Linked DNA regions of Diceros bicornis minor. The protein of the gene in region 1 interacts with the protein of each later gene in a biochemical or structural test. Links are inferred from orthologs where the notes say so. Each region holds a gene or a part of one and is shown in the gene's direction. Other genes may lie near its edges.

What was found.
Region 2: the proteins of CTSB (region 1) and CSTA form a complex in vitro, tested with the Homo sapiens proteins (3 studies listed by BioGRID and IntAct, with this or other methods). The link is inferred for Diceros bicornis minor from reciprocal best matches to the Homo sapiens genes CTSB and CSTA.

The regions. Positions count from the first base shown.
Region 1 is NC_080750.1:62,363,758-62,379,415, forward strand, and holds the start of CTSB (cathepsin B), read left to right. Parts: upstream 1-7,764; 5' UTR 7,765-7,834; intron 7,835-12,100; exon of another isoform or gene 12,101-12,119; intron 12,120-15,658. UniProt on the Homo sapiens protein: Thiol protease which is believed to participate in intracellular degradation and turnover of proteins. Cleaves matrix extracellular phosphoglycoprotein MEPE. Involved in the solubilization of cross-linked TG/thyroglobulin in the thyroid follicle lumen.
Region 2 is NC_080754.1:23,183,589-23,199,579, forward strand, and holds the start of CSTA (cystatin-A), read left to right. Parts: upstream 1-9,432; 5' UTR 9,433-9,496; coding exon 9,497-9,562; intron 9,563-14,317; coding exon 14,318-14,419; intron 14,420-15,991. UniProt on the Homo sapiens protein: This is an intracellular thiol proteinase inhibitor. Has an important role in desmosome-mediated cell-cell adhesion in the lower levels of the epidermis.

The DNA.
Region 1 (15,658 bases):
AAGCCCTAACTCTCAATGGGATGGTAATTGGAGATGAGGCCTCTGGAAAGTAACCAGGTTGAGATCAGGCCATGAGAGTGCTCTTATAAGAAGAGACATCAGAGAGCTTTTGCTTCCTCTCTCTCCACTCGCTGGCATGGAGGAAAGATCACGTGAGGACACAGTGAGAAGGTGGCCATTTTCAACCCAAGGAGAGAGCCCTCACCAGGCACCAACCCTGCAGGCATCTTGAGCATGGACTTCCAGCCTCCAGACTGTGAGAAATAAAGTCCTGTTTTGTTATGGCAGCCCAAGCAGACTAAGACACTCCCTTGATCTTGTAACTTTCCTATGAGATCAGCCCCATCATCACTGCCATTCTACAGATGAGGAAAAGGAGCCCAGAGAGTTTAACAAACTTGCATAAGGCCAAGGCCACCGACTGGGAAGAGGCAGAACCAGGATTATGAATTTGTGACAGAGACCAGCTAGAGCTCACCTAAACCATTTGTTCTTCCTGGGCACACAGCTAAACCACTTTTCCCAGCCCTGTGACATCCAGAGTTTTCTTCAGTGGAATGGATGTGAAAGCACTGTATACCGCTCATAGGCTAGGGAGGTGAAAAGGACATGGGCGTTTCCTCCATTCTCTCCCTTCCCTTTGACAGAGACCTCAGAGTCCATGTGTAGGAGATGGCAGTGCAACAAGAAGGGAGCAGCCTGAGTCCCTCAGTGACACCATGAAACGGAGCATGTTGCTCCAACCAACTCTCACTGGTCTCCAACTTTAGTCAGAGATGAACTGTTGTTGGGATAGGCCTGTTTATTATAGCAGCTTGTATTACTTACCCTGACTAATACACCTGCCAGAGTCCTTCTTAAAGGGACTATTGAACTCTCTCTTGACTATAGCCACAGGCAGCAAGTAGGTACTACCATTTAGGGTGTCTTAACAGTATAAAGTTAGTTCTAGACATCAAGTATCAGCAAGGTAACCAAACCACGCTTATATGTACAAATGATGGAGATATGTGTTTGCACTATAAAAACCTGAATGAATACTACCTTAATCCTAAACCAGGAAACAACACAAAGATAATTTTTAAATGAATATAGGAAAACTCATTTACTATTGCACTTACCTTCAAGGAAATTTACTTTGATTAATAACATATAGGCGGGCCGGCCCCGTGGCTTAGCGGTTAAGTGCGCGCGCTCCGCTGCTGGCGGCCCGGGTTCGGATCCCGGGCGCGCACCGAGGAACCGCTTCTCTGGCCATGCTGGGGCCGTGTCCCACATGCAGCAACTAGAAGGATGTGCAACCATGACATACAACTGTCTACTGGGGCTTTGGGGGGAAAATAAATATTTAAATAATTAAAAAAAAAAAATAACATATAGGCAACCTAGTCCAACATGGTTTATAGCAAAGTTCCCTTTTAACTTCCAGTACCAGGCACAGCCCCTGTCCCACAATAGACTGTCAATTAACATTTGTTGAGAAAATGACTGGTCTTCATTCCCTTATTGTTTTCTGCTCACTACAGAGTTGAGACACATATGGTCAGGAATGTCCCCAATCAGTTTTTGATCTGAGGTTTCCAAATGGCCTGCCTCTTCTGGGAAAGTCCAAAGCAGCCCTCTCCTCTAGGACAGTGTTATGGACTGAACTATGTCCCTCCAAAATTCATGTGTTGAAGCCCCAACACCGAAGACCTCAGATTGTGACTGAATTTGGAGATTGGGCCTTTAAAGAGGTGATTACATTAAATGAGGACTTTAGGGTGAGCCCCAATCCAATCTGACTGGTGTCCTTAAAAAAAAACAGGGTTAGGACACAAAAAGAGATACCAGGAATGTGTGTGCACAGAAAAAAAAGGATATTTGAGCCCATTTTTGAAGAATAGTTTTTGTGGAGTTGTTTTCAATTTATATTTTGTTTTTGTTTCATATAAGACCAGAACTTTTATTCCAACGTGATATTATGAAAATTTTCAAAGACAACAAAGCTGGAAGAATTTTACAGTGAATTTTATGATGGATACTGGTTCACCCACCACCCAGATTCTACCATCAACATTTTACTGCATTTGCGTTATTGCCCATCTGTCCATCTACGCATCCCTCACTTCCTCCATCCATCCATCCATCCTCTTAATGCATTTCAGAGTAAACTGCAGTAACTTCTCTTTCAGCATCCATATCATTAACCAGAATCCAATATTGCTTACAGTGGCTTCTGTTGATGTAAACTCTATCTGGAATGATGAAATGCACAAATCTGAAGTGTATTTTCCCTGAGTATTGACAAGCACATACACCCGTGTAACCCAAAACCCTATCAACATATAGACCATCATCATCACTCCAGAAAGTTCTCAAGTGCCTTCTCAGTCAATGTCCACCCTCACTGTCCCCAGAGGCAACCACTGTTATAATTTTTGTGCCACCATACAATAGTTTTGCTTGTCCTAGAACTTCATTTTAAAAAGAATCAGGGGCTGGCCTGGTGGCGTAGTGGCTAAGTTTGCACACTCTGCTTCGGCGACCCAGGGTTCGCAGGTTCAGATCCTGGGCGCGGACCTACACACCACTTATCAAGTCATGCTGTGGCGGCATCCCACGTATAAAGCAGAGTAAGATGGGTACAGATGTTAGCCCAGGGCCAATCTTCCTCAGCAAAAAGAGGAGGATTGGCAACGGATGTTAGCTCAGGGCTAATCTTCCTCACCAAAAAAAATAAAAATAAAAGAGGGCATATGGCATGCCCTCTTTTGCGTATGATTTCTTTCACTCAGCATAATGTTTTTGAGACTGATTCTGTAGTTGTGTGTAACAGCAATTTGATCCCTTTTTGTGTTTGGGAAGGATTATTGAATATACCGTGGCTTGTTGATCCATCCTCCTATGGATGTACACCTGGTCTGTTTCAGGTTTTGGCTATTATGAATAAAATTAATACAAAGATTCTTGTACAAGTCTTTTTGTGGCCAAATATTTTCTTTCTCTTGGGTAAATACGTAAAAATGGAATTGCTGGGTCATAGGGTAAGGGGTATATCTAGTTTAAAAAAAAAAAAAACAATTGCCAGAGTGTTTCTTAAAACAAAGTGGCTGTACCCTCTAATTCTCCTACCAACAATATACGAGAACCCCCATTGCTCCACATCCTTGCTAACATTTGGTGTTGTCAGTGTTTTTAATAAGACCAGAAATTTCTATATATCTGGCTCTAGGCATTAGAAAATGGGAAAAGCTTTGTTATCACTAAGCACATGTCTGTAGGGGCACTGTGGTTGGTGTATTAACAGAACCTAATTTAAATTTATTTCTCATAACAACCTGGTTAGAGGCTGGGAAAAGTGAAGTAACTGTGGAACTAGGATTCAAACCCAGGTTCTTCTGCTTCCTTTTTTTTTTTTTGGTACCCTGGCTAGGACTAGTGAAACAATAGGGTGTTAAGAAAGGAGATCCCCATGCAAAGCAGTGTTGTCAACTTTTTCCCATTGGTCAGAGCCCTCCAGGAAACTCAGAAGATTCTGGTTTATGGTAGCACAGTCTGGTGCTTCTGGCCCTGTAGGTTTGGATGAACTGGGACAGGGGATAAGGGGGGATGAAATCCTCCTCCAAACACTTGCTATCTTCCACCTGCTAGAGGCCTCAGGAGATCAAGCTCTTGGGCTCATAAAAGGCCTGAAGGAAGAATGAGCACAAAATACCTTGGCCAGAAGAAAGCCACTCTTTGTCCCTTCCTAAAATCGCACCACAGACTCTGGGGCCCAAAGGTGTGTGAGTTGCAGCCATTCCTATTGCCTGATGAAGCTGGAGAGAGGCTGGGGCTGGGGATTCACGGGATCCTGTTAAAAATGCTGCTCTGCCCCTAACAAACTGTGTTAACCTAGGATGTATTAGGACTTCTCTGAGTCCCTTTTTCTTCATCTGTAAAATGGGGGGAACTTTCCAACATCACAGGGTTGTTGAGAATATTTTTTAAAAGGTGTGTATTACATAATAGAGTATATTACATAATAGATGATCTATAATTATTCTTTTTCATTCTCCTTTTCTCCTGTTTGGTCAAATAGATTCTTAAAAAGAAAGTTAACTTGTTCTACCGTGTTAGATATTGTCATGTTCCTTTTGGGGATGGTGAAAACGGTTCCATGTTGTCACAGCTTTGCGTGGGGCCTGTGCCCTTCCTTTGTCCTGTTGCCCTTGTACACCAAGCTGGGTAGGAAGGTTGGTCTGCTCCTGCGATTCTAAGCCTGAAGGTAAACTTGAACTAATGGGTTTAAGCAGCAACAATAAAATAGAGGATCACTCTTATCAGCTGTCACTCTGTTGGGTCAACACCTGGGAGGAAGAACTGGCCAAAGCCAAAACCATTAGACTCCTCTGTCGACTACTAAAGAACCCACTGAAAGTCAACACACCATCAACTAAAAATCTCTCCACCAAAGACTCTAAGGCCCTGGGACTTAGAAGCTGGCAGAGAGAGGTCAGAGAAAAACAAACTTACAAGGGCTTACAAACAAGGGGGAAACAAGTTAGGCATTTCTTCAGAAAAGGGAGTTCTTTTTTTTTTTTTTCGTGAGGAAGACCAGCCCTGAGCTAACATCTGATGCCAATCCTCCTCTTTTTTTGCTGAGAAGACTGGCCCTGGGCTAACATTTGTGCCCACCTTCCTCTACTTTATATGGGACGCTGCCACAGCATGGCTTGACAAGGGGTGCGTCTGTGCACGCCCAGCATCGGGACCGGTGAACCCCGGGCCGCCGCAGCAGAGCGCACACACCTAACCCCTTGCGCCACCGGGCCGGCCCCAGAAAAGGGACTTTTAAAGGACTGCCAAAAAAAGAAAAATAAAAAAGGATCATTTCTACTTTAGCCTTTTCCAGTACTCCCCTAATCAACCCTCCTGTTTTTGGTAAAAGGTTTATTGTGACATGACTGACTTACCATAATATTCACCCATTTAAAGCATACAATTCAATGGTTTTTAGTATGTTCTCAGGATATATATACATATATATATATCATCACCACAATCAATTTTAGAACACTTTTATTATTCCTAAAAGAAATCCTGTATCTTTTAGCTATCGCCTCCCAAATCTCCAACCTCCCTCCCCCTCCAGCCCAAGGCAATCACTAATCTACTTTTTGTCTCTATAGATTTGCCTATTCTGGACATTCCATATAAATGCAATCATAGGGGCTAGTGGTTAAGTTTGCTGCACTCTGCTTTGGCAGCCCAGGTTCAGTTCCTGGGCTTGGACCTACACCACTCGTCGGTGGCCATGCTGTGGTGGTGACCCACATACAAAATAGAGGAAGATTGGCACAGATGTTAGCTCAGGGCAAATCTTTTTCAGCAAAAAAAAATAAAATAAAAAATAAAAATAAATAAATAAATGGAATCATATAACATGTGGCCTTTGTGACTGGCTTCTTTCATGTAGCATGAATGTTTTCAAGGTTTATCCATGTTGTAGCATGTGCCGGTATTTCATTCCTTTGTATGAATGAATAATATTCTATTACACAGGCATACGACATTTTGTTTATCCATTCATCAGCGGATGGACATTGGATTGTTCCGCCTTTTAGTTATTGTGAATGCTGCTGCAATGAACATTCAGGTACAAGTTTTTGTGAGGACATATGTTTTCATCTCTTTTGCTTATATACCTAGGCCTCCTTTCCAGAAGCTCAGCAGGCAAACAGCTTCTGCACATACAGGCCAAGGCTCTTCTGTAAATTCTGAGGGCTATTCCCTGACCCCCAAACCTGGGAGGTTAAGCCAAAACCCTACTCACCTTCAAGGCCCACCTCATTCATTTATGCATTCACTCAGTGAATATGTATTCATTCATAACATGAATATGTGCGAGGCACTCTGCTATGTGCTGGGGATGCACAGGGAATGACACAGGCAAAAATCCTTTTCCTCATAGAGCTTAAGATCCAGAGGAGGTGAGGAAAATAAGTAAAATTATGTGGCATGTTCCTTTCTCCATGGAGCATTCCTGGATGCCCCAGGAAGGGCTAATTCTACTCTAGTAGTACTTATTTTTCTCTTGTTTTATTTCAGAAATGATTTCTACCTTTATAATGGCACCAATCCAAAATTCCATAAAATTGGGATAATGTGTGTAAAGCACTCAGCACTCCTCCTGTCACGCTATAAAGATGAGAGAGAGAGGATGAGAGAGAAAAAGAGAGATTTATCATGGTTATGTGTTTCCTCTCCATTTGTGCCTTCTCTTATTAGCTCCATTATGGAATTCAAAAATGATTGACATTCATTCAGAAGGTGACATGTCAAAACATTGATTTGCAGTCTGTAGTCCAAGGCTGGAGTCTCTTCGTCCTTCCTGTTGTCCTAAGTTCCTTGGGAACGCCACTCAATTGGGGGTTTAGTAACCTTGTGCAGACTCTGAGACTTCTTTCTTTCTGTATTCTTTTTTTTTTTTTTATAATTTTATTTATTTATTTTTTTTCCCAAAGCCCCAGTAGATAGTTGTATGTCACAGCTGCACATCCTTCTAGTTGCTGTACGTGGGACACGGCCTCAGCATGGCCAGAGAAGCAGTGCCTCGTGCGCACCCGGGTGGAACGCAGGCCGCCAACAGCGGTGCGCGCGCACTTAACCTCTAAGCCACGGGCCGGCCCACCTTCCGTATTCTTAATTGGGACCAAACAGGTGCAATCACATGTCTCCAGAGAGCTCTCTGATGGGCCCTGGCAGGCACAAGGACTATGTGACAACTGATGGTCAGGCATCTGTACGACGCAGCAGATGCCTCTTGGATCTGTAGCCAGGGCCTCTTGGAGTTGCCCAGACTTATAGCTTTCTTATTACCAGTAGCACGGGCGTAAAATACCAGACCTTACCAGATAAAATGCCAGCCTCTTGAATAAAACAGGGATCATACCTACCTTGCAAGGTTGTCATAAGGATTACAAACATCTGGGTATTCTTGGAGGAGGGTAGGTCTTGAGTTACCCCACCATCTCCATCAGCCTCTCCAGTCACTCCGCCAAATGAACTCCAGGTGAAATAGCCTGCTGCTGTGCGTGCCCCTTCAGGACAGGCCTCCTGGCACCCTATTCCAAACAGATTTCCGCCCCTAAGTTCCTTCTCCTCAATAGAAATCCTGACGCAGCTCCTGAAATTAGTACTTAGCTATTATCACACAGCTGCAGTATCTTATAGGCACGTTCTCAGAATATTAAGGATAAAAGGGCCTTTTAAGGCTCTTCTGGGAGGCCTGCTGTCTTGATAATCCCGCCTCTGGCAGTGGTTTCTGAATGAATGAAAAGAGGGATAGTTATGCCCTCCCCCAAGGAGGGATCCAGCAGGCTCCGAATGCGTCGGGCAGCGGCGGGCCCTAGGGAATTTCTCCAGGCTGGGTGGACAGGGCCTCCTTCAGCTCCTTCCGCTCCCCACAGGCCCCGGTCCGCAGGGTTAGAGGCCGGCGGGGCTCAGAGCCCCTATTCCCGGGCCGGCGAGCCGGCGCCCAGCGGGATCTCCTGGAGCCGAGGCGGGAGCGGGGTCCACAGCGGGAGCTGGGGGTGGGGCTGGAGTGGGGGTGCAGGGTCCGCAGGGGCAGCGCGAGGAGCTGGGGGTGGGGTGCGGAGCCCGCAGGGGAGGCCGCGGCACGGTAGGGTGGGGGCGGGCGGCCGGCTCGGCGCGCTCACGTGACGAGTCAGCCGGGCGCGGGGCGGGGCCGGCGCGGTACATAGGCGCGGGGGCGCGCCGGGAAGCGACTGCGGCTGCTTGGGCACCAGCGCGGGCACCGGCTGGGGCGCACTCGCAGGCTGCAGGCCCAGGCTCTCGGCGGCGGGGCTCGGTGAGTGCGGGCGGGCCGGGGCGCGGGCGCAGCGCCAGCGCGGCGAAAGTCACCGTGGCCGGGGATGGGGAGACTGGGGCCCCTTGCGCCTTTCTCCGGGCCCAGGCGCGGTCCCGCGGCGTCCCCAGGCCTGGCGGGAAGGGGGGACCCTCGGGCTAGCACAGCTGGGCTGGCAGGGGTGGCAGCCCGCGCACTCCTAGAAGTCCCTGTGGTGAGAGACGCAGAAAACCACCCTCACGCAGCCAGCCGGGCACCCCCGCCCCCACTGCGGCCGGAAGGCTCGCCCCCGCTGGCCCCCACCCTAGGGCTTTGTTCGTGACCCGGCGCAGGGTCAGCGCGACCCCAGGCTGCGCCGGCCTCCAGGGCCGGGCGGGAGGCGGCCGGGGCGGAGCTGGGGAGTTTCCTGGGGAGATGGAGGGAGGAGCCTGCGAGGAAGAGCTTGGCCGGGATCCCGGTGACTGTCGGCTAGAATCTGGCTCCTCAGCCCCTGGTGAGCTTCCGGACCTCAGTTTCCTCAGCAAAATTGCTAAGATAATGGTATCTACCTGCATCTATTTTAGATGTTTTCTTATTGTAAAGGGTTTTCCTGGGCAACTTTCTGCACACAGCCACACCCAATTCCGGGTACCCCAGGAGACAGGAGCCTGGAACTGGGTGGAGTGGGGTGGAACCCACATGAAATCCACGGATGGGAGGAGAAATTAAGCAGAGGATAGGAGAATGTATAGGCATGGAGGCCTCAGCCCTCTTCCCCCTGGGGGTATGGGGGGGGGAGGAGGAGGATGCCACTCCCTACTCCTTGACTGCTATGGAAGGGAGACAGTGCCTCAGGCCCAGGGTGGTGTGGGAGAGAGGAAAACAGGGCAGAGTCCCTGGGGTATCACCTCTTCCCTCAGTTAATGACTCTGGGGGCCTGGGAGAGGGAGAAGTGTGGGGTGACTGAATTGGGGGGCTCAGCAGGCAGTCTAGATAGATGTGAATTGGGTTTGCCTTCTTAGTGGGCCTACATCAACCCCTTCCTCAGGCATTGAGGAAACCAACAGGCTGGCCCAGGGAGAAGGACAATAATCCAGGCTTCCCATGTTTCTACCTGACTCATAGAGACCCTCACACCAGGTGGGAGCGGAGGTGGTTGGGTTCAAAGGGAGACCTAGCACCTTTTGTTACCTTGGAAAAACTGGTCCTCAAGTGCTTTCAGGAGAGGCGAAGGCAGCTGAGATGCATTACAGATGCAGAACAATAAGGTGAAGAGGCTTAGAAGGGTGTCTAGTTTGGTAAAGGCTGCTTTCCTTTTCTTCCATAACATCTTTAATGGAGAATTGTTTCCTGTTGGCGCTGGTGATGGTCACCTAGAGCCTTTGAGCTTCGTAGAGAAGGGGGCTGGGCTGTCCCCACTGTGTGTGGCTTTCCCACACAGGGAGAGGGTTGAAGGTGCCCTGGAGAAAGGTTCTGCTCAAACCTTTTTGGGCATTTGTCCCAGAGCAGGGGTACTGCTGAATGGAAAAGTGCATATCCCTTCTCTGCGGGCTTCCCAGCCCCCAAGGGGAGGCAACACAGGCCAGACACAGCCCTGGCTCCAGTAACTGCCCTGATGTTGAGTCAGGACAGCCCTGTTTCTGGACTGGTCAGGGGGTGAGGCTGGAAGCCCTTTGGCTCCAGGATGAACCTGCTCATGTGCTGCTGATTCAGCAGCTTGAGCTGAGGCGCTTCTTGTAGACTGGGTCTGTCTCTGACTGCTGGACCTGGGGGTTGGAGTAGGAAGCTGCACACATTTTAGGGGTAAAAGAAATTTTGTGTTACTGTTGGCAGTTGAATTGAGAAGGGAAGGGAGAGCACTTCCAGGGGACACTTGAAATGTCTGGGTGATCTTCTTAAATGTTGTAATGAGCTGTGGTTGTGTAGAATGTCACTGTCCTCGGGAGAGAAGGACTGAAATATTTTGGAGTGAGGACTCACAACGTCTGCTGCCAATTTTAGATAGATTAGCCTAGGAAAGTATTAGCAATATGAGGTTGAACTATATGAAATGGGAATTTATGTGGGTCAAGAAGGATCGAAATCGGGGCAGTTTCATATGGTTCAGCCTCACGTGTAGAGAGAGGGTCGACAGTAAATTGATGAATTGAGTTGAGGCACATACAGGTGTGTATAGTACTCACTGGGTGTTGAGAAGCAGTCAGCAGTCTATACCTGGTCCCGTAGCATCATCTCTTTTGGTTTATTCTCTCAGCGCACACTCCAGGAGCCCCCTAAGAGAGGGAGCGTAGGAGAGAAATCCTGAGTCCTTCCATGATTGATACTGTTCGTATTCTACCCTAGTTTGGATAGGGAGGGGGATCAAGGGATCAAATGCCATTACATATCAACCAATTCTGTTTTTAACCTTAAACCTCATCCCCACCCCCTATCCACAGTTCCCGGGGCCTCCAAGTCTCAGGCTTCTGTGGGGTTCATAGGATGAGTGCGTTCCCTCTTGGTTACAGCTCCCCTTTGCAGGCTGTAGGTTTCAGCTTCTTTGCTCTGCAAGTCCTTTACCCTCCTGTGCCTGCTCCCAGTCTTCCTGAGGGACATTGTAGCTCTTATCTGCTGTCTCTTTATAATTCTCCTGCAGGTTTTTTGGTACTTCTAATACTTTGTATCACTCCAGGAACAATATTATTTAAATTGATGTAACTTAATTATACTGCATGTATCCTTTTCCTCTGGTGTTTATGAGAGTTATTTATATTGATACATACAGATCTAGTTCATTCATCTTAAAGGCACAGTGTATCTACTGAGGGAAAATTAGGTTGCTTTTGCTTTTTCCCTGTTGCTCACAGTGCTACAGTAAATATCCTGGTATCTCTCACTTGCAAGAGTTTCTCTAGGGCAAAAGCAGAAGTAAAGTGCTGGATGGTAGAGTGTATGCATCTTGCAATTTGCTAGATACTGGCAGTGCTGTCCAATGAGGTTTTACCAATGTATACTCCCGGCGGTGTTAAGGGTTCCTGTTCCTAATTTTTACCAACACTAGATATTACCAGACTTTAATTTTTGCCAATCTGATGGGCATGACGTGGTGTCCCTGTTTTAATTTTCGTGACTAGGAATTCAAATTTAATTTTTTGCCCTAGGAAATTGTTAATTAGTGAGCTTTTCTATTTTTGTTGTTGATGAGTGATAGTGTTTGTGGGTTTTAATGTGTTTATGAACAGTGAGAACTTACTAAGTTTTCTTTAGATCCTAACCTAGATATCTGGACCTCTGAAATTAAATAATGTTTTCTAATTTTTTAACTCTCAGAATGCATGTGAGTTTTGGGTCCTGGCAGTCTGACTCTCCCTCTTTACAGATGAAAAAGCTGAGGCACCTGCAAGTTTGTGACATGATGGGGGTCACTCAGATAATTGTGGTGGAATTTCTCCTAGAATTTGACCTCTTGACAGTTCTCCATCCCTGCTCAGGTAGACCATTCAGGGTTTGCTCTTGGTCTTTTCTCAATCACCCGATTCCTGCACCTGTAAAACAAAAGCCTTATACAAGACCAAAGGTCCTCTTCCAGCATTACTGTTCGATGAATGCTGGGTGCTGGGAAGGATGCATGCCTGCAGTGTTGACTGTGTTATCTGTCTCTACCAGGCCAGTAACTCATTTAGTCTGGTCATCAAGATAACCTAGAGTTGCCAGCAGGGATGGGGGAGGGGAAAGGGACAGATACCACCAAGATAGTAAACTGATTCAGTATAGAGCACTGTGAGAACATCTAGATATTCTGCCAAGAGACCCAGCAGGGGCTGGGCTTCTCCATGACCCTCTGACCTGGACTTGGGCAGGATGTGCGCGTGCACACACAAGTCATGTGGCCTTCAGGCTTGCGCAAGACCTGGGAAAGTGGTGCCAGCCCAAGGCTTCAGCCACTCCAGGATTGACGCATTGTCAGACATCAGCTGGGAGCCATCTGCTGCCTGTTCTCGATCCACTTAACCCTACAAGTGTTGGAGGGTGCTTTGTTCTGGTGGGCCAGATAGCAGAAAGCAGAATAAACCATCATTTGAGGGCTTATCGCAAAAAGCAGGGGGATCATGATTTTTTATCCACAATGGCATACTTTTGAGAATAAAAACAATTACTCCGGGACAGCAAGAGTTAACTGGTCTGCATAGGGCGGTGTATACTCACCACACTAGTGAGGGAGAGACTTCCTGGTGGCAGTTCAGCGTAAGGGCTGCCTGCTCTGAGCCAGGCTGCGTGGGAGGCACTTTCAAAAAAAACATCTCCTTCCATCTCCCAACAGCCTTGTGAGGTGAGTGTCTCTTCCCAGGGGCCCCAGGAGGGGAAACCGGGGCCAAGCCATAGAGGCGAGACCTTTCCATTACTTGCTTTTGTGGCTGCCAGTGTCTCAGCTGCCCCAGCTGGCCGGGAGATGTAATCTAGCCTGTGATCGAATTAGGGAGCCGCTGTGTTCCTGCGGGCTGGAGAGGCACAGAACACTAATCTCGTTGGAGTCTCTAAGGATTTCTAAAAGCTTTTATAAAGTCATCCCGGGGTCCTTCAGAATCCGGGCAGTGTGCCCATTTTAGAAACCGAGACATGGGGATGTAGTGCCCCCTTCAGCATCTCAGTAAGTCAGTTTCAGAGGCGATGAACAAAGCTGGTAAGCACAAGCTTCCAGAACTTTGCCCAGATTGTGTTGTTTCTCAACAATACAAAATATTTCGACTGCTGAGGGCCTTTCTGGGGTCCATTGTTTTAAGCCTAAGGTAGTAGTTTTCTTCTGTTTGCGGGATGTGGGCTGCTGTGGCTGATCTTAAGTAATGTTCCATTTGTGGGCACTGTAGCTACATGGTTTCCAGATACTGTGGGAGAGTAGCTTGAGTAGGCTGGCCTTGCTGAACCTGGGGGGAATTAGTCATTTATTTTGGACAGATGATTGGCAGGTGGGCAGCAGGGGAAGTACCTGTGAGTGGCCTAAAGGGTTTAGGTGGGTGAGGCAGGTGTGGGGCCTTCTCACTGTTTCTCCTGGTTCCCTTGGAGCCTGCTGGCAGCCAGCTACAATGGATGCCTTTTCTGGGTCATAACAGTTGCTTGGGGGCATTCAGCTGCAGGGAGCCCAGCTCTGGGGGATGGAGAGGCAGCTGGTGCCTGTTGATCCTCACAGCTTTCAGGAGACAAGTAATGACTAGGAGCCGTTTTTTCTTTTTTTAATTTAAAGATCATAAGCCAAGAACCAGTTAAACATGTTTCCGTTACAAGCAAAGACATAAAACACGAAAGACCACATCAAAGCTGTGATTCAGACTCAAAAAGGAGAGGTCTTGGGTCTCCTTCAGGTTGATCGCGGCACATCTGAGATCAGGGCACGTATGTCAGCCACCATAGTGCTGCCCCAGCCTTGGGGTGTAGCTGGGCAGACAGAAGTCGAGGGGAAGTGGAGACTGCCCAGCGTTGTTGTGTGGGTGCACTGAAATGGTCGGAACTTGAGGAACAACTGCTGTTAATGACAGCAAGAGACAAGTCTTTGTGGAAGAGAGAGACACTTATAAAGTTCTCTAGCAAGGTCCCACTGAGTCGTCACAACCCTCCTTTTCCACCTTTCCCCTTACCTAGAGCCCCTCTGCTGATATATGAGGCACAACCTTAATTTGTGGCAATTGACAAAATGTAGCCACTCAGTTTTTTGAGTCTTGAGAGCCAGCTGTGAGAGAGGTCAGCAGTATTGGACAGCAGCAGTGGGCAAGGAAGAGCAAGGTACTGGAGGAAGGGCTGTCGGCACACCTGCATTCATCTTTTTCTGTATTAGCCAGAAGATTGCAGCTGGGTTATTTGGAAATTTCACATATATATGTCTTGTCCCTTTAGATCCAATACAGATTTAGAATTCAGTCTACCTGAGGGCTGTATAAACTTGTAACAAAGCTTTTTTAAAAATCAGAGTTGGGGGGCCGGCCCGGTGGCGCAAGCGGTTCAGTGCATGCGCTCCGCCGCGGCAGCCCGGGGTTTGCCGGTTCGGATCCTGGGCGCACACTGACGCACCACTTGGCAAGTCATGCTGTGGCGGCGTCCCATATAAAGTGGAGGAATATGGGCACGGATGTTAGCCCAGGGCTAGTCTTCCTCAGCAAAAAAAAGAGGAGGATTGGCAGATGTTAGCACAGGGCTGATCTCACAAAAAAAAAAAAAAAGAGTTGCTGGGAGCCAAAACTGATTTCATGTCCTTAGGGATATCAGGACTTGAGGCCTCCTGCGAGTTGGCATCAGCTTCTCTCCTCTGTTCATTCCACCTCCTTCCAGAGTCCCAAGGTCCACATTAGTCCCAGGAACGGCTTCAAGGTAGTCGGGGGAATGGTTCTGCTGTGAGGGGAGGTTGAAGGATCACCTGGCCACAGGCCCTTTTTTGCACATGACAATATTCTACAGAACCTCGGTGGAATGTGTTTTCATATAAACCGTTAAGTGCTATAGGAGTTGGGAGAGGAAAGAAATGCGAGAGCCCATTTTTTTAGCCCGAGATTAGCTTGAAAAAGGGGCAGAGGGGTGTGGTGGAACCCCAGGTCTGCCCAGGAAGTCCAGCTGGCTGGGAACTAGGAGTCACATCTGCCCGCAGCTGTTTCCTCCCTCCACCGGCCCGCACCCGGAGAGGGAGGGAGTCTGTGATTTGTGAGTGTTCTTATCCTGTTTGGGCCCCTCTTCCCTCATCAAATAAGGACTTTCTGTTCATTCTGTCCTGCAGTTAAAGGGAAAAACCTCACACAGTTGAGAAATAAAAGGGAAGTGTATGCCCAACGATGGGAAGTGAAAGCTGGTTCTGTTTCGTGCTAAGGCCGCGGGCCCTGTGACCGGCTTGTTAACAACAGCACAGCTTGTTTTAACCACTTGTGTGTCGTTTGTCCAGTGTTCATGATTTGTGTGGATGTGGAGAGGAAGAAAGGTGGCTAGTGCTCACTAGAATGAAGTTGCCACGGCTCTTGGGGCATCTGTGTCTGTCCCTCTAGGAGGAGAAATTTGAGTTAATATTCTTTGGGCTCAGGACCCTCAAAATGAAGCCCATTTGGAGGCTAATTGAGGTTAAAACCTCAATTTTAATTCAGACTCTTCTTTGTGATGTGGAGGTGTTGTGGACAGGTTTGGCGTGAACTGACACAGGCTACAAGTGGGGGAAAGAAGAGAAGAGAGGGAAGGAAGGGAGGAGGGTGGAGAGTCGGAGCTGGAAGTCAAGGAGCCTTCATTGCCTTACTGTTTGGTAGGCACTGTGGCAGGGGCTTCTGCCCACCCTCGTTTCACTCTTGATTTCCACCTGGAGAAACTAATGGTTATTAGCTCCGTTTTACAAGTGGGGAGACTGAGGCTCAGTGAAGGCTGGGTGCTCAAGTAAGTGGAGGAGCTGAGATCTGAATCTAGGTCTCCTGACTCCAAGCCGAGTGCTCATCCTTACCGCCCGCTACAGCGGCTGTTGACCACTTAACCCCAACCCAGACGCTCTCCCATAATGCCACAACGCTGTGCCAGGGGTGCTGGGGCTGGAAGGAGGAGCTTACCAAGGCTCAGTCTGAGTGGGGTTGGGAGTCAGTTGTTTATGCTGAGCTCCAGGCTCACAGTCACGGGGACCCTGCCTCTCCACCGAGGCAGGTTATGAGGGAGAATAAAGTTGACAGGAAATATGGAGAAGGACCAGTGGAACCAAAGGAAAAGAAGGGTACATGCACGGAAGCCTCACGTCTGGTGAGGTAGCGTGGGAGGCCTGGCAGGCCACAGGACGCAGGCCCATGATGGCCATGGCAGTCATCCGTGCAGGAACTGAGAACCATCTGGGAGGTGGGTGGGCCCTGTGTTCTCTGCCACCAC
Region 2 (15,991 bases), on another chromosome or scaffold:
TCTCTGTCACAGCCCCTCTTCTAGGCCTGGCCCTGCTTAGATTTTAGCGGTAGGACTGACGTGGGATTGAGATGCCCTCAATCCCAGCATCTGCCGACCCTTCCTCAGAGGCTGGCTCGGCAGTTCCCCACAGGGCCCTTATCCAGCCCTAATGATGACAGGGTCAGCCTGAGCTTTGTAGTTCTCCGGAAGGTATGAGAAACTTATTTTTATCATTTATGTAGAGGAAGCACCCACCTGTCATTTTGTCTTACCAACTTAGAGTCTGAATTGAAAAATAGAAGCAGGGAGAGAGGAAAGAAATTGTTGGGAAAAAACCAACTTCTTGTCTGTTTCTTTTTTTATTAGCAAATTTTTAAAAACCTAAAACTATAAAACTTTAACAAGAAAATATAGAGGAAAAACCTTTATGACACTGAGTTAGGCAAAGATTTCTTAGATATGATACCAATAGCATGATCTATTTGAAAAACCAAATTGATCAGTTGAACCTCATCAAAATTAAAAATGTCTGCCCTTCAAAAGATACTGAGAGAAAATATTTGCAAATCATATATCTGGTAAAAGACTTATATCCAGAATATATAAAGAACTCTTAAAATTCACTAGTAAGAAAACAAACAAATCTCCCTCTAAAAATGGGCAAAATATTTGAATAGACCTGTCACCAAAGAAGATACATGCATGGCAAAGAAGCAATAATAAGGTACTAAACTAGTCATTAGAGAAATGAAAATAAAACCACATTGTGATACCACTGCATACCTATTAGAATCACTAAAATCAAAAAGACTAACTATATCAAGTGTTGACAAAGATGTAGAGAAACTGGAACTCTCGTACACTACTGGTAGGAAAGTTAAATCGTATAACCACTTTGAAAAACAGCTTGAAAATTTCTTAAAAAGGTAAACATACACCTACCACATGATCCAACCATTCCACTCTTGGGTATTCACCCAAGAGAAATAAAACCATACAGGCTTGTTCATCAATGTTTATAGCAGCTTTATTTTAATAGGCCAAAACTGGAAACAACCCAAATGTTCATCAACTGGTGAAAAGATAAACTGTGGTATATCCATTCAATAAAATACTACTCAACAATTTAAAGGAATGATCCATCGATACACGCAACAACATGAATGAATCTCAAAATAACTATGTCAAGTAAAAGAAATCATTCTAGAGTTATGTAATATTCTAGTAAATGCAAACTAACTATAGTGACAGACAGTAGATTAGTGGTGGCTTGGGGATGGGCAATGTGGGGAGGCATGAGGGAGGGTTACAAAGGGGTACAAGGAAACTATCAGTAATGATTGTGGTATATATGTGTGTATGTACATATATATGTCAGAAGTTATCAAATTGAGGGGCCAGCCTGGTGGCATAGCAGTTAAGTTTGCACATTCTGCTTCAGCAGCCTGTGGTTTGCTGGTTTGGATCCTGGGCGCAGACCTACTCACCCCTCATCAAGCCACGCTGAGGTGGCGTCCCACATAGAAGAACTAGAAGGACCTACAACTAGGATGTACAACTATGTGCTGGGGCTTTGGGGAGAAAAAAGAAGAGGAAGATTGGCAATACATGTTAGCTCAGGGCCAATATTCCTCAAAAACTATATATGTATACACATGTATATTCTTTGTCTTCACCTGTGGAGTCTATAGAGACAGGAATCTGATGGTTGTGTGTATTTCTAAAAAAAAAAAAAGTTATCTAACTGAACATTTTAAATATACAGAAGTGATTGTAAGTCAATTGTACCTCAGTAAAGCTGTTAATGAAAAAAAATCTTTTTTTAAATAACACTTAGAGAAACTCAGAACAGCTGGAAGCCAGCTCCAGTCATCCTCCAAGGTCCTGCTCAAGCATCTCGTCTCAAGTACCTTCCCCAGCTCTCCAGGGGGGGTTAGTCCCAGTTAAGGCATTTCTGCACTATAATTATAGGAACTTTTCACTTCTTCATCTTCCTCTCTGAACTATGAGATCCATCTGGAACATAGTGGGGACAACAATCAATAACAATGTATTTACTCAATGATGAAATTTCTCTGCACAAGGCAGACTCATTGTAGGTTAAATGGGTTTGACTAGCCAGCCTAGAGGTCACCATGCAGATGGCATTTCTGAGGAAAATGCCAAATTCCACACAACTGACTTATAAGCAAACTTTGTCACCAGTTGAGGACAACCTGTTTTGAACATATGCATCCGTTCCATGAGTAAGCTAGAACAAACAGAGCTGATGGTCATCCTCTTATCTTGCAATTCACAAGCAGGAACCTATCTATGGAGCTATAATCACCACACTAACTGATCTGTTACAACCCGGATGTACTCACCTTGGCTCATGTGTGTACCTTGGAGCTTCCCACTGAGCTCCTGCGAATCAGCTGGGGCAGCAGTAGCTCAGAGATCTGTCTCAGGAGGTGGCCAACCTCTAGTGCTGGTTGACTGACAAAGAGGTGGTTTGAGTCCGATGGGATCTATCTATGCCCAACAATCACTCCAGGAGGATAACTGCCCTTCTACCTTCACAGAGCACACACAAAACCAAGACCTTTTTCTCAGCCCTCATCCCAAGGTTACAGGTCTTTGCCAATCACCCTCAGGACAGGACAGAGAGTACCATAGGAGATGAGGAGATCCAGTCGAGAGAGCACTGCAGGAGTCAGTTGACCTGAACTCCAGCCCAGCTCTGTCACTCACTGGTGTGTGACCTTGAGCAAAACACTTTGTCTCTCTTGGCCTCAGTATCCTCGTGTATAAAAGGAAGGGCTTAGTTTGACTCAGTGGTTATATAAAAACAAAAAAAACGGAAGGGCTACAGACCTCCTAACTAATTTTTGTATAGAACCATAGTTTATAAGACAAACAAGAGTTGCTCCAATAGAAAAAGGGATGGAGTAACACAGCCCAGTTTCTCTGCTTCTTTGCTCTATTGCCGTCCTCTCCCAGGGGGACCCTGAGACATCTGCCATTTATATTAGATAAAGGTCTGTTGGATAGACCCATAATCCAATCCAGATAGAGAGCTTGAATGCATGCATTTATTCAACAAATTTATATTGAGCATTTACTGTGTACGGGGCCTTCTGCTAGCAACCAGGATATCAACAAGGAAAAAGACAGCCAGGGCTCCTGCCCCCACACAGACTTACACTCTAATGGTGGAGAAAGACAAGTAAAAAGGCAATTATTTATTCGTTCAATAGACATTTATTGAATGCCTACTATCTGCCACGCACTGTTCTAGGCTCTGGGATCTGGGAATATAGCAGTTATTCCAGGCAACAGAGAATACAAAAATAATCAAAACATGCACAGACTGTGAATAGTGCTATTAACAAAGAAGATGACATAAGAAGGACTAGTGGGAGGTGGGAGAAGGCCTCTGTTAGAACATGATGTTTCCGCTGGGATGTGATAGAGAAAACTTTCTGAAGAACCTGAGAGAGAGCATTCCTAGCTGGCAAAACGTCAAGTGTCCAGAGGTTGAGGTGAAGAAAAGCCTCGCGTGCTCTGGGAACCGAATGAGGCTAGTGCATCTGGAGAGCATGAAGGGGGAAAAGTGTCATGAGATGAGGTTGGACAGTTAGGCAAAGATGGAATTATGCAAGGCCTCAGAGTCCATAGTAAGGGGTTTGGATTACTTTTTCTTTAATTTAGTGGGAAGATATTAAAGGAATTGATCCAGAGGAGTAACATCATCTAATTTGTGTTTACAAAAGATCACTCTGATTATTGTATGGAGAACAAACAGCACATAGTATTTTTTGTGCAGAAATTTTTTGGGCAGAATCTTCTGATGGCTTGGATTTGGAGATAAGGAAATAAAACGTGACTTCATGGCTTCTGGACTGAGCAGCTGGGTGGTGGCAGTGCCCTTTATTGGAAGGCAGGAGGCTCAGGGAGGAGGCCACAATTACAATGCAGGGTGATGCCTACACTACAGTTATGACCAAACACAGAAAATGATTCATAGCCAAAGCCACTGCTTCTGACCCAAATCTCAATGACCTCAGACCTAATTCATTCCAGCAGCTTCCTGAATACAAAGCTTCCTATCCTAACCTCCTGCCTCTCCCCATTGTGGTCCTCCATGATTTTTATTTTTATTTTTTTATTGTGATAAAACATACATAACATAAAATGTATCATTTTAGGGGCCGGCCCCGTGGCTTAGCGGTTAAGTGCGCGCACTCCGCTCCTGGCAGCCCGGGTTAGGATCCCAGGCGCGCACTGACGCACCGCTTCTCCGGTCATGCTGAGGCCACGTCCCACATACAGCAACTAGAAGGATGCGCAGCTATGACATACAACTGTCTACTGGGGCTTTGGGGAAAAAAAGGAGGAGGATTGGCCATGGATGTTAGCTCAGAGCCGGTCTTCCTCAGCAAAAAGAGGAGGATTAGCACGGATGTTAGCTCAGGGCTGATCTCCCTCACAAAAAAAAATAAAATAAAAATAAAAATTATTAAAAAAAAAAGTATCATTTTAACCATTTACAAGTGTGTAGTTCAGTGGTATTAAGTACATCCCATTGTTGTGCAACCGATTTTTATTTTTAATATTTCATATTCTCTTCCCCCTCTCCTTCCCCTGCCAATCTCAGGAAAAACTGTGCCTTTGATCTTACTCTACTTTATTGATTCTCTTCCTTGTATGACAAACTACAGAGAAACAAAAGCTGATATTGAAAGTTTGTTGAAGAGTTATTGTAAAGGAGATAACTAAATTCTTAGGATTTGTAGCAAAAAACTTTACAGAACAAACCATTTTATGATAGCAGTTATTATATTTCCATTTAGTTGAACATATAATTTTTCATTTTTATAATTCTAAACATTTTATTGGAACAGTAATAATTTACTGCATCCATAGCCTGTGAGGAAATTTAAGAAGTTCAAGTTAATCAAGCTTATTATAAGAAAGTAGGTTCCCAGAACAAGTCTTAATCGTATTAAAATTTGTCAGAAATTGCTTAAGTATTTTATCAACAAAGCTAATTTCTTCTCAGAAAGAGATAGAGAATTGTGTCATACAAAAAGATTCTGCCCTCAACCACATTTTTAAAAAATTGTATTTTATAGTAGCTAACACTTGAGTATCACGGGAGAGATTCTTGTGCTTCTTAGTAAAGCAACAAGACAGAAATTTAAATTATTAATGACATACTAAGATGGAATAGATTAAAATTAAGCAAGACCTTCATCTACCCAGCATTGCTTTATATTGTGTGCCTCAACAATCATTGGTTTGTTAATGTTCTCCAGCCTTCTCATCTTCCTCATCTGAAATGGTAATGACCAGTCTAGCATTTATTTCATAAGACTTTTTATGAAATATGATTAAAATTAAACTTCTATAACTAAGCCCACTGAAACATCAAGGCCCATTATTTCTGATTTCCACATTACCTTAGTAAGGCCTTGATTAAACTCTCTTGCTAAAGTCTTCATTCTCCCCACTATTTGCCAGGAAAAGGGAGAGAAATGGATTTCTTTACCCAGTTATATCTTTATATTTTCAATATGGGCCAACTTGTTTAACATGCTCTTCCTCCTGTATTCCCAAATTCTATTAATAGTACAATTATCTTTCTGGTCATCCAAACAAAACACCTCCATCAGCCACCTGACTCCCTTTTCTGTGTCCTCTCTCCCGCCTAATATTACTTTTATAAATTGTCGTATGGTCCCATTTCTCTCCAGTCCATTTCCCACATTGGATCAGAATTAACTTTTCGTTGTTCCATTGTGATAACTTCCTAATCAATCTTTCTGTCTCCAGGATCCTTTCATCCAATCCACCCTACACATTGCTTCCAGTTTTATCTTCCTAAAGTACAAATGGTTTCTGTACAGCTCAAAATTTTTAGTGGCCTCTATTACCTAACAACTAAAGTTTACAATCTTTCACCTGCTTTTCATGGTTTGTCCTCAACCAACCTTACCTCCTACTTTCCCCTCACCATGAGGACAGCCGGGAGGAGTAACTTTGCCATCCCTTTGAACACACACTTCAGATGGGACATTTACAACTGTTTTTTTTTTTAAAGATTTTATTTATTTTTGTTTTTCCCCCCCAAAGCCCCAGTAGATAGTTGTATGTCATAGCTGCACACCCTTCTAGTTGCTGTATGTGGGACTCGGCCTCAGGATGGATGGAGAAGTGGTGCCTCAATGCGCACCCGGGATCCGAACCGGGCCGCCAGCATCGCAGCGCGCGCACTTAACCACCAAGCCACAGGGCCGGCCCAACAACTGTTTTTAAGACAATATGTTGATGCAGTGGTAGTTAAAAAACGCTAATGAAAAACGGTACAGGAAGCAGTATAAAAGCAAGACCAAGAGACACATAAAGGTGTTTAACAGGTATTCCTTTTTTCCCAGATTTTTTGGGGGTAAGTTACATGCAATAAACTCCACCCATTTTAAGTGTACAGTTTGATGAATTTTGGTAATTGTATACCATTAGTAACCACTACCACAATCCAGATGTAGAACAGTTCCATCACTGTAAAACGGTTCCTCATGCCCCTTTGCAGTCGATCCTTTCTCCCACTCCCAACCCCAGGCAACCTCTGGTCTGCTTTTCATCACTCTGATTTTGCCTCTACTAGGGTTTCCTGTAAGTGGAATAATTTAATACATAGTCTTTTGTGTTTGACTTCTCTTAGTTGCCTTCTTTTTCACTTTGACTTGTTTTTGAGTTTTACCTATGTTATTGTATGTATTGTTATTTTGTTCTTTTTTATTGTTGAGTAGTACTCTATAATACAGATATACAATTTTTTTAATCTATTCACCAGTTGACGTTTGGGTCATTTCAGTTTGGGGCTAACATGAATAATGCACCTATGAACATTTGTACACAAGTCCTTGTGTGGACAGATGTTTTCACTTCTCTTGGGTAAATACTTAGGAATGGCAATGATGGGATATATAGTAAATGAGCATATCATACATTTACCCCAGCCATGGGTGGGAGCACAGTTAGCTGGAGATGTCCAGAGCCCCAGGCGTACCAAAAGCTGAATATAAACCCAAATTCTGAGTATCTTCATGATTCAAGAGCCCTAAGCCAACAGTAAAACAAGACCTAGTTTGGGGCCTGTGCACCCTGTAGTGTCCAGTTGAGGCAAACCCCCCCATAGGGAAGCCCATAACCCAGCCCCCACAGAGGAAATCTTCCATAAAAGATATTTCCCTTTGGAAGATGAGCTCACAGACAAGATATATAAAACATATGAGAATGTCCAGTTCCATAAAAATAGCCTGAATAATTAAAACCAAAAAAACCCTCCACAACATCCAGTACAGCAATCTTAAAGTTATTTAAAAATAATTATGCATTTAATTGTGTGTTTAAGTAATTAACATAGAGATATTAATTGTTGTGCTTTTCTTTTCTGTACTTACTTGTACAAGACTCCTCCTCTGTCAGTCAGAGGCCTCCATACTACCCTGAGAAGAACTAGGATATGATAGTAGAAATGCAAAGACAGAAGCAATATTTGCTTTTGGGCAGTTTTTTCTTCTAAAAGAAATTATTGAGAATCAAGAAGGAATACCTGAGAGTAACATGGTATATAGGCTCTAGAAAGAGAATGGAAGATATGCTGCTCACCGTATGCCTGACCTCAGGGAGATTACACAAGGATCACCTGGAATATTTGGTGAACAGAGAGGTAGAAATGGACTGCAGCCCTGAAAAAAAGCTGGAGGCTTGGATATGAGAGGACCTGACTTGGGAATGTTACAGGAAGATGTCAAGGGTTATCTGTGGCCAGAGCTGAGCCAAAGTCTTAAGATGACTTGTGACCTCTTGAGTGAGCACCATGTCATGCACATTTGCTATTCTTCTCAATACATGAGTGAAGCCATTCCACGGAGAGCTATCTGCAAAGCACCCCTTAGATTATCCAGTAAGATATCTGCCTATCTCCAAGAATTTGTCAAGTACCTGCCAAACATTATAAAGGATGAAACACCTCTCTATGTAATAAAATAGAATAATCTCCAAAATATATTGTTAGGGGTAAAGCAAAGTGTCTAAAAGTTTATGTTGTAGGCTACCATTTGCACCATTTATAAGAGAAAAGTGTGTGTACATGTATATGTATGTATGTGTGTAGTTAATTATCTATTTGTATGTGTAAAGACTATCTCTGAAGGGTACAAGAAGCTGGGGATAGTAGCTGCCTCTGGAGAGTAGAAGGGTGGCTGAGGAATAGAGTGAGCGAAGAATTACTTCTATTGTAAACTCTTTTGTTCCTTTTGAACATTTTTATCATGTGTATGTGTTACATATTCCAAAAATTGAATAAAATAATACAAATAAATATTCACACAAAACAGCAATTTTCCTCTAGATAATTTGCCTGTAGAAGCCCTCACACATGTACAAAAGGAAAGAAATGCAATATTGTTTATAAGGGTGAAAAACTAGAAACAACAAAATCTTCATCACTAGCGGAATAAGTATGTAAAATATGGAATCGCATATAGCAGTGAGATAGAATAGATAGATGATAGATAGATAGATGGATAGATAGACAGACAGACAGACAGACAGACAGATCTATCAAAGAATAGCAGTTAAAGGACATGAACTAAACTGATCTGTGTACCAACATGGAATGACTCAAAAACATGTTGAGTAGAAAAAAATCCTAATATAGAATATGTGTTTAACGTACAATTTAAGTAGATTTTTAGAAACACACTAAGTAAGAGTATAAAAATGGACTAGAAGGATACCAAACTCTCAACGTAGTTTATCTCTGTGGAGGGCAAGGTTGGGGGTGGGGGGCTGTAATATTTTATTTCTTAAAAACAACTACAAAAAAAAAGATAGGAAACAAATATGACAAAATGCTAAAAATTTTGATTCTGGGTGATAGGAACACGTATAGGCATTTGTTGTTTTATTCTTTGTTTTTTTCTGTATTTTAAACAGTTCTAGAAGTATAAATAAAAGTAAAATACAAATTTCCAGCCAAAGTTCTCCAGATAGATCCTTTTACTTTCTTTATAAAGCCAAGTAAATTCTAAAAAATCAGCCTTGACATTATTAATAAATATCCTTTAAAAAAATAAAGTTTTGTGTTAGAGGTTTTACAACATTGGGAAACTCTGGGTGTGGCTTCAGATTTCATACTTCAGACGCAACAGGGTAGAACCATTGTCAAAGAGAATGCAGGAAAGTTTGACTCCTGTTACAGCATGACTCCTTGTGTACCCCCATTTATTCATCCCAAGCTCCTCATTCTTCCAAAGCCCTATTAGCACATTCTGTTGAGGAAGCAAGAAAACTTGCCTCAAGTCATATTCATTTTCCTTGTGCCTTTTTTGCTTTTTGTGGAAAATAAAACATTCTGTAGGCGGAGCTTATGAGCAACACCCTCTTTAAAAACCGGAGTCTCAACTCTTGCCTGACCATTTCTGTTCCAGCATCCTGCCCAGCAAAGAAGCAATTAGGCAAAATGATGCCTGGAGGCTTAACTGAAGCCAGACCTGCCACTCCACATATCCAGGAGATTGCTAATGAGGTGAGTTGATTTATCTCATGAAAAAGTTTAATTCAAAATCTTGGTTCCTAGGTTGGCCCCATGTTAGGTGTGGTGGGTGAACATGAAAACCAGAACATTGGGAAATGTGTGGTTTTGCTTAGACTTCCTTACAACTAAAACTTTTTTCAGAGGAAACTTCTAATAATCCCAACTGTGAGAGTGATCTTGAGCAAGTCACATCCCTTCTCTGAGCCTCAGTTTCCCGACTTGTAAAAGAAGATTTTGTATTGGATCATCTCTAAAGCTCTTACAATGTATGATTCTAGGATTACTAATTCAGTTTCTGATGAAACTTTTCTAATCTCACCAAGTAGAGCCAACATATAATTAAAGTCTGAGGTTGTTAAAGATTTGAGGAACTAGACTTCAAAGGCACTGCAGGGAAATTTTTTTTAATGGGTTGAATGAAGAACAATATCATAAAGGCAATCCATTTACAAACTTCCTACAAATTTGACTAAATAAACAATGTTTTCATCTTTTAATAGTTAGAAGATGATTTAACCAGTAGAGAAGTGGCATAGTCTACGGTGATTCCAAAATTGATTATGGTGAAAATAGAACTCTTAATGTTTTTAGCAAGTTGATACATTTTTCTACGTGTTGTTTGATTAGCTATAACTTATATAATAAAAATTTATTGTATTGCATATTTTATGAAAAGAAAACATATATAAATTACCTTTTTAGGTTTGTAAATTGCCCTATTTTCTTGTATGATTCCTTCTTGTTTTTTCTCTTTGAAACTTCATTATATAACACTATTTTGCAAACAGGGTCAGCTTCTTGTGGAAGTGGAGAGATGGGATCCTCTATGTCAGGGCACTTGTAAGCTCTCTAAGAGCTCAGATGCCTAGAATTCTACCACTCATTCTTTGGGCCTAAATATTTCTCTTTCAAGAGTTCTTTTAAAAAATAAATACCTTGGAGGCTTTTTTTTCTTGGAGAAGATCAGCTTTCCCCATCCTCATCAGGAAGCTTCTTAGTGGAATGCCAACTGAAGGGATAAGCCGATTAGAGAGGGAGGGACAGGAGGGGGATGTTCGGCACCTGGAGAGGGAAAGTATCAAGCAAAATGAAAACTACAGGCTCAAAGAATTTGACATCAAAATGAAAGAGGGATGTTGGATGAGAGGAGAAAGAGAGGAAAATGTTGATTGTGTACACAGTACTTTGTGAATTGCTATAGGGAGAGAAGGGACAAAAAGGTGGTCCCTGCCCTCAGGGAAATTTACAAAACAGATTGGAAATAAGAGATACACACAAGGAAATAAAGAGCCACACATGGCCCTATCCATGAGAAGCCATGATACGTATAATCAAGGACCAAATGAATGGCCCTACCAGCAAAAGCCTCTGGATCATTATTGCTGATCCACTATCTTATATCATATGTAAAAAACCATTGGATGAGAATTCTGAGTATGTTTATGTGTAGGAAAAAAATGTTATTTCAATAGTTATTTTTGGAAATAAGGGCTATTATTATACATGCGTAGATGCATACACACAAAACACACACACACACACACACACACACACACACACTCCTCTAAGTCAAACCTGATTGCTGAGTACTGTTCCTGGCATACACACAGATCATGACTTTTGTCTGCCAGGATATCATGCAAACACCTCATCTACATACCATCAGGGACACACCCTGGGGCTTAGCGTGTCACGGCTCTCACTCACCCACAAATTTGTGTTCTCTCTGACCACAGCCTCCTCATCAGTCACCTCTTCCACTGCCACACACCCAAAGAACCTGACCTTCAGCCACACCAGAATCCTTCAGGCACTCACCCTCCCATCATCATCAGAACATGCGTAGGCCCACTCGTTCACTCATCCAGCCCGGACCCCATGATGGGTGGTTTCATACACTCCTCCGACACTGATTTCCATGATCCTGTGAGGTTCTGGCATTCTGATCCTCAACTAGAGATCACTCCCACTGCCACCACATCCTCCTCAGCTTCTGCTCCAGGTTCAGAGCACTTTGCTCAAGGAAGATGCAGAACCCTAGAAAACTCACCCATTACAAATCTGTGAATTCATGCCAGAGAGCAACCTCAACAGGAACACCCAACAAGGCTGCCAGAACATCCTTTCAGTCATGTCCTGTTGGTCCTTTTCTAGAAACCTCACAGAGGTGGATCTGGACCTTCTCTCTCCTTAGTTTCTCAATCCCTCCCATCCACAAGGCCCCTCCGGCCAGTGTCTCAGTTCCTTCTCTTAGAAAATCACAGTCATCTGGTGCGAGAACACCCCGATTTACTTATCCTCTGCGAATCTCATTCCTCCCTCCCTCTAATCTAAGACTCTCTCTTCCTTTCTTAAACCAGCCCTTCCTCTCTTATGCCAGGTGCCATCATTTCTTGCATACTGGGTGTCTTGCCCCATACTTCCCCCTTTCCTCAAAACATACTCAGACAACAAATGTCCACAAGTCACCTCTCACCAGCCCCACTATACTTTCATGTACTACCCAAACTCTCCTTCCTCACTCTGTAAAACTTCCCAAAATATGGCCTATTCATGATAACACCATTATCTTTCTGTCCATTCTTTCCTAAATTATGCATAGTCCAAATGTTTCTGCGGAATGATTGGCTACAGCGTGGCTCAAATCCTCAGATCCCAGAGAACTAACATCTCACCAAGATTCATGCTCTGCAGCAATAAGAAATGCTTGAACAGCTCTGGAGTGAATGTACTTTACCAGTTGCTCCTCCCTTGTAGCATCCTTCCCCTGGCGGGGCCCAACTGACAAGCCCACATTGTTCTCTCCAGCACCTCAGCCACCACCACGCATGGCAGGTGCGGAAGGTGAAGGCCAACTGTGTTCAGCTCAAGGTCTGTCTCTTTACCACCAGGCTCCAGACCACCACTCCCACTGGCCTGCACCCTCCTACCGCCCATTCTGGGGGGTCTTTCAGCACCAAGCTGCCTTCTGAAACTTAAGGTTTCACTAACCCACTCCTTTCTACTCTGCCCCTTTTCCAGCTCTTCAGCTTAAGTCTCATCACCCCAGGTTCATAGCACCCAACATTCGAACAATACAAATCTGCTTTACTGGGAAGGGGGAGCAAAGCTACAGGTTGAGTACAGTGAACCCGAAATCAGGGTGCACAGTCTGACAGGTGCCAGTGCACTTACAGAAACAAACCAGGACCTTTGAAATCAACTCTCTCATGAAAATTCTGGACTTGTGAATTGCATACATACAATGGAAAGGTTACAGATTTGGATTAATTTGTAGGACAGATAGAAATAAAAACTTTGATACATGGTAGAAACATGACCAAAAGATGGAAACCAGAAGAAATACAGATAATTGCAACAGATAAATCAGATACTTAAGTTATCAGGCAAGGGATTTTAAGCTTTAAATAACTATATTTAATAATTTTTCAGCATTATGTAGTCATGTTCTCCTCACAGCCTCAGGTTCCTCATTTGTAAAATGAGGTTTAATTAGAGGATTTTGGGTTTAGTGTAGAGAGTAATCCTTTCCAACTCAGGTCCTAACTCGACTGGTACCCAGTGTTCGCTCAAAAGGCTTAGGACAGGGGAGCAATAAGTCAGTAACTCCTTTTCTTACTCAACTTCTCTCTGCACCTTTGTCCAGTTTTCTCCTCTCTCTCCTGCACCCTATCTCTTCCCATTTCTGGTTTTTTTCTCACTATTTATCTCCTTCCTTTCTCCAACTTCGAGCTTCATTTTCCATCTCAAGAGAGCAATCACATTCTTTCCATCTATTCTGAAGGTTACAGGAGAAATAGGTGGTGGTCCATGAAGTATTTGGTCCTCGAAAGTGGTCTGAGAACTCAAAGAGTTTGCAAATGTCTACGTCTTTGAAAACAGTTCTGGTACCCAAACCGAGGTCCCAATAGAAAAGGATTCAAAATGTCTGTCCACAGATGGGAAGGACTGGGTGGCCTCGGGACAACCCTAGATGCACTGGAGGCCTGACTGAAGCTGTATAGGCACATAAAATGCTTCAGCGAAGGGCAGGGAAGCAACTTCCCAATAAAAAAGGTATATCAAATACACAAATGTAATTCCCTTTCCCTCTAAATGATAGGAAAGGATTGGGAGGGAAAGGGCACAAACCCACAAATATAAAGACAACAAGATATAGGCAAACACCACTTTGACAAAGAGATAGCGACAAAACTTTGGAAGATGGAAAACAGAAAAACAATGGAATATAACTGAGCCATCTAGACAGAGCCTAAGCTACAGAACAGAATGTCTGAGCCAGAAGCAAGCAGATTCATGCTGCGGAACTCCAAAATGGCACAGGCACTAGCAACACCAGAAACTTATGTAGACGGGAGTGAGGCATGGGGCCTCCAATGTCCTTCATTCCTGCCTTCAGGAATTATGTCCTCTCTGACTCAATTTCTCCTAAGAGTAAAGCTCCAGCCTTCTGCCAGGGTGGAGGACAGGTAATAACTTGTCTTCCAAGGGAGAGGCTAGTGAGAGGGAAGGATCTGGGGGCAGTCTTGCTTCTCCTCATACAGATCTTGCATCAATCCTCCCAGTTTTTAGCCCTTGCCCATGTAATCTTATTAAAGATACGTGTCTTTCTATAAATATTGAAAATAGGTCATAGATCTCATTATCATCTTTGAGGACTTTTAGGAACATGAGGTTCCCATATTTGTAATCACATAGATGGAGTCCAATATAGCTTTGATAATTTGTTTCCTCTTTTCTCTTAAGGTTAAATCACAGCTTGAAGCAAAAACAAATCGGACTTATGAAGAATTTAAAGCCGTGGAGTATAAAACTCAAGTGGTTGCTGGAACAAATTACTACATTAAGGTTAGTATTCAACATCCACTTTGGCAATAAAGATACTGTATTTATCACTTTATGTGATGCTCCCTGTCACTCCTACCACATAATTTGTTCCTTCTCCTTGTGCTAAACCAAGATGCCTACCTAGCATGATACTTCCCAAATGGTAGACTCTCAAATTTGGCAGATGCTGGTATATTTGTATTGTCTTTTTCTTGTGAATTTAGAAAGCTTTCTTATATTGATTCTTAACTTAATTTCCAGAAATTGTATAGAAAAAGATTTCACAACAGTTCAGAGTATGTTTAGCTCGTGGCCATGGCTGCTTCACCTGTGAAGTCGGAGCCTGAAGGCGTGGGGCTGGACCAGATGTTATCATGAAGCCTTTTTCCACCTCAAAATTTTGCGATTCTATGTATCTAAATTAAATGGATGTAAGGAATGACTTGAATCATTAGCTGGGAGAATAATATAAGCCACTTTTGCCCATTAGATAACCATTTTGATTAATATAATTTACATAATAATTTTTGCATCTCAAATAGGTAGAGTCAACTTGTGCCCCTGTGGGTATTGTCTAAAGAAGTGAAGCATTTAAAATATTTTTTAAATTAATTTTATAACTATATTAAAAAAATTAAATGATGCACTGATCCAGTTCTAATTGAAGAAAATACTTGTGAAGTTATTGAGAGGGAACCAATTCAACAAGTCAATCGTGGATATTTGGGAGCCATTTTCATTATTTTGTATTGAGAAGATGATAATTCTAATTTAATAAATAAACAACAGATATTCAAATGTATTTACTTAATCTTTACTAAACCATTTGACCAGGGCACAGTCTGCCTTATTTCTCCTTAACAAACAATTAACTACTTAAGATATAAAAAATTTTTTAAAAGTTTGCAGCAAAAAATAAGTGGTGTTAACCAGCTCAGCATGAGAAAATTACAATACTGGGTTATGTAAATTGATCAGCCCAGTCCTACCAAATTTGAGCTCCTAGTACATACCAGGCCCTGGAAGGCCCACATGTATCTGCTTTCTTTACAGCTGGAAAAGAATGTTTTCCAGTTAAAAATGATTTTGTTCAATTTTATTTTATTTATTTTATTTATTTATTTATTTATTTTTATTACTATTTTTTTGTGTGTGTGTGTGAGGAAGAGCAGCCCTGAGCTAACATCTGCCAGTCCCCCTCTTTTTGCTGAGGAAGACTGGCCCTGGGCTAACATCCGTGCCCATCTTCCTCCACTTTATATGGGACGCCACCATAGCATGTCTCGTCAAGCGGTGCGTCCGTGCGAGCCCAGGATCCGAACCGGCGAACCCCAGGCGGCCGCAGCGGAGCGCGCGCACCCAACCGCTTGTGCCACCGGGTCAGCCCCTGATTTTGTTCAAAGATAAGAAACTTCCACCAAAATTGGAATTATTAATGTAATGACTTATGATTAATCCAAGATTAATAGATTTCACATATTAATCAGTTCATGTATTTCTTAAAAAGCTCACAGAAAACTATCTTGAAAATTTCTTCCCTTAGGACCACCCGTTCAGTCTTAAATACAGTCTCTTCTCCCCTCTCTCCTCTGT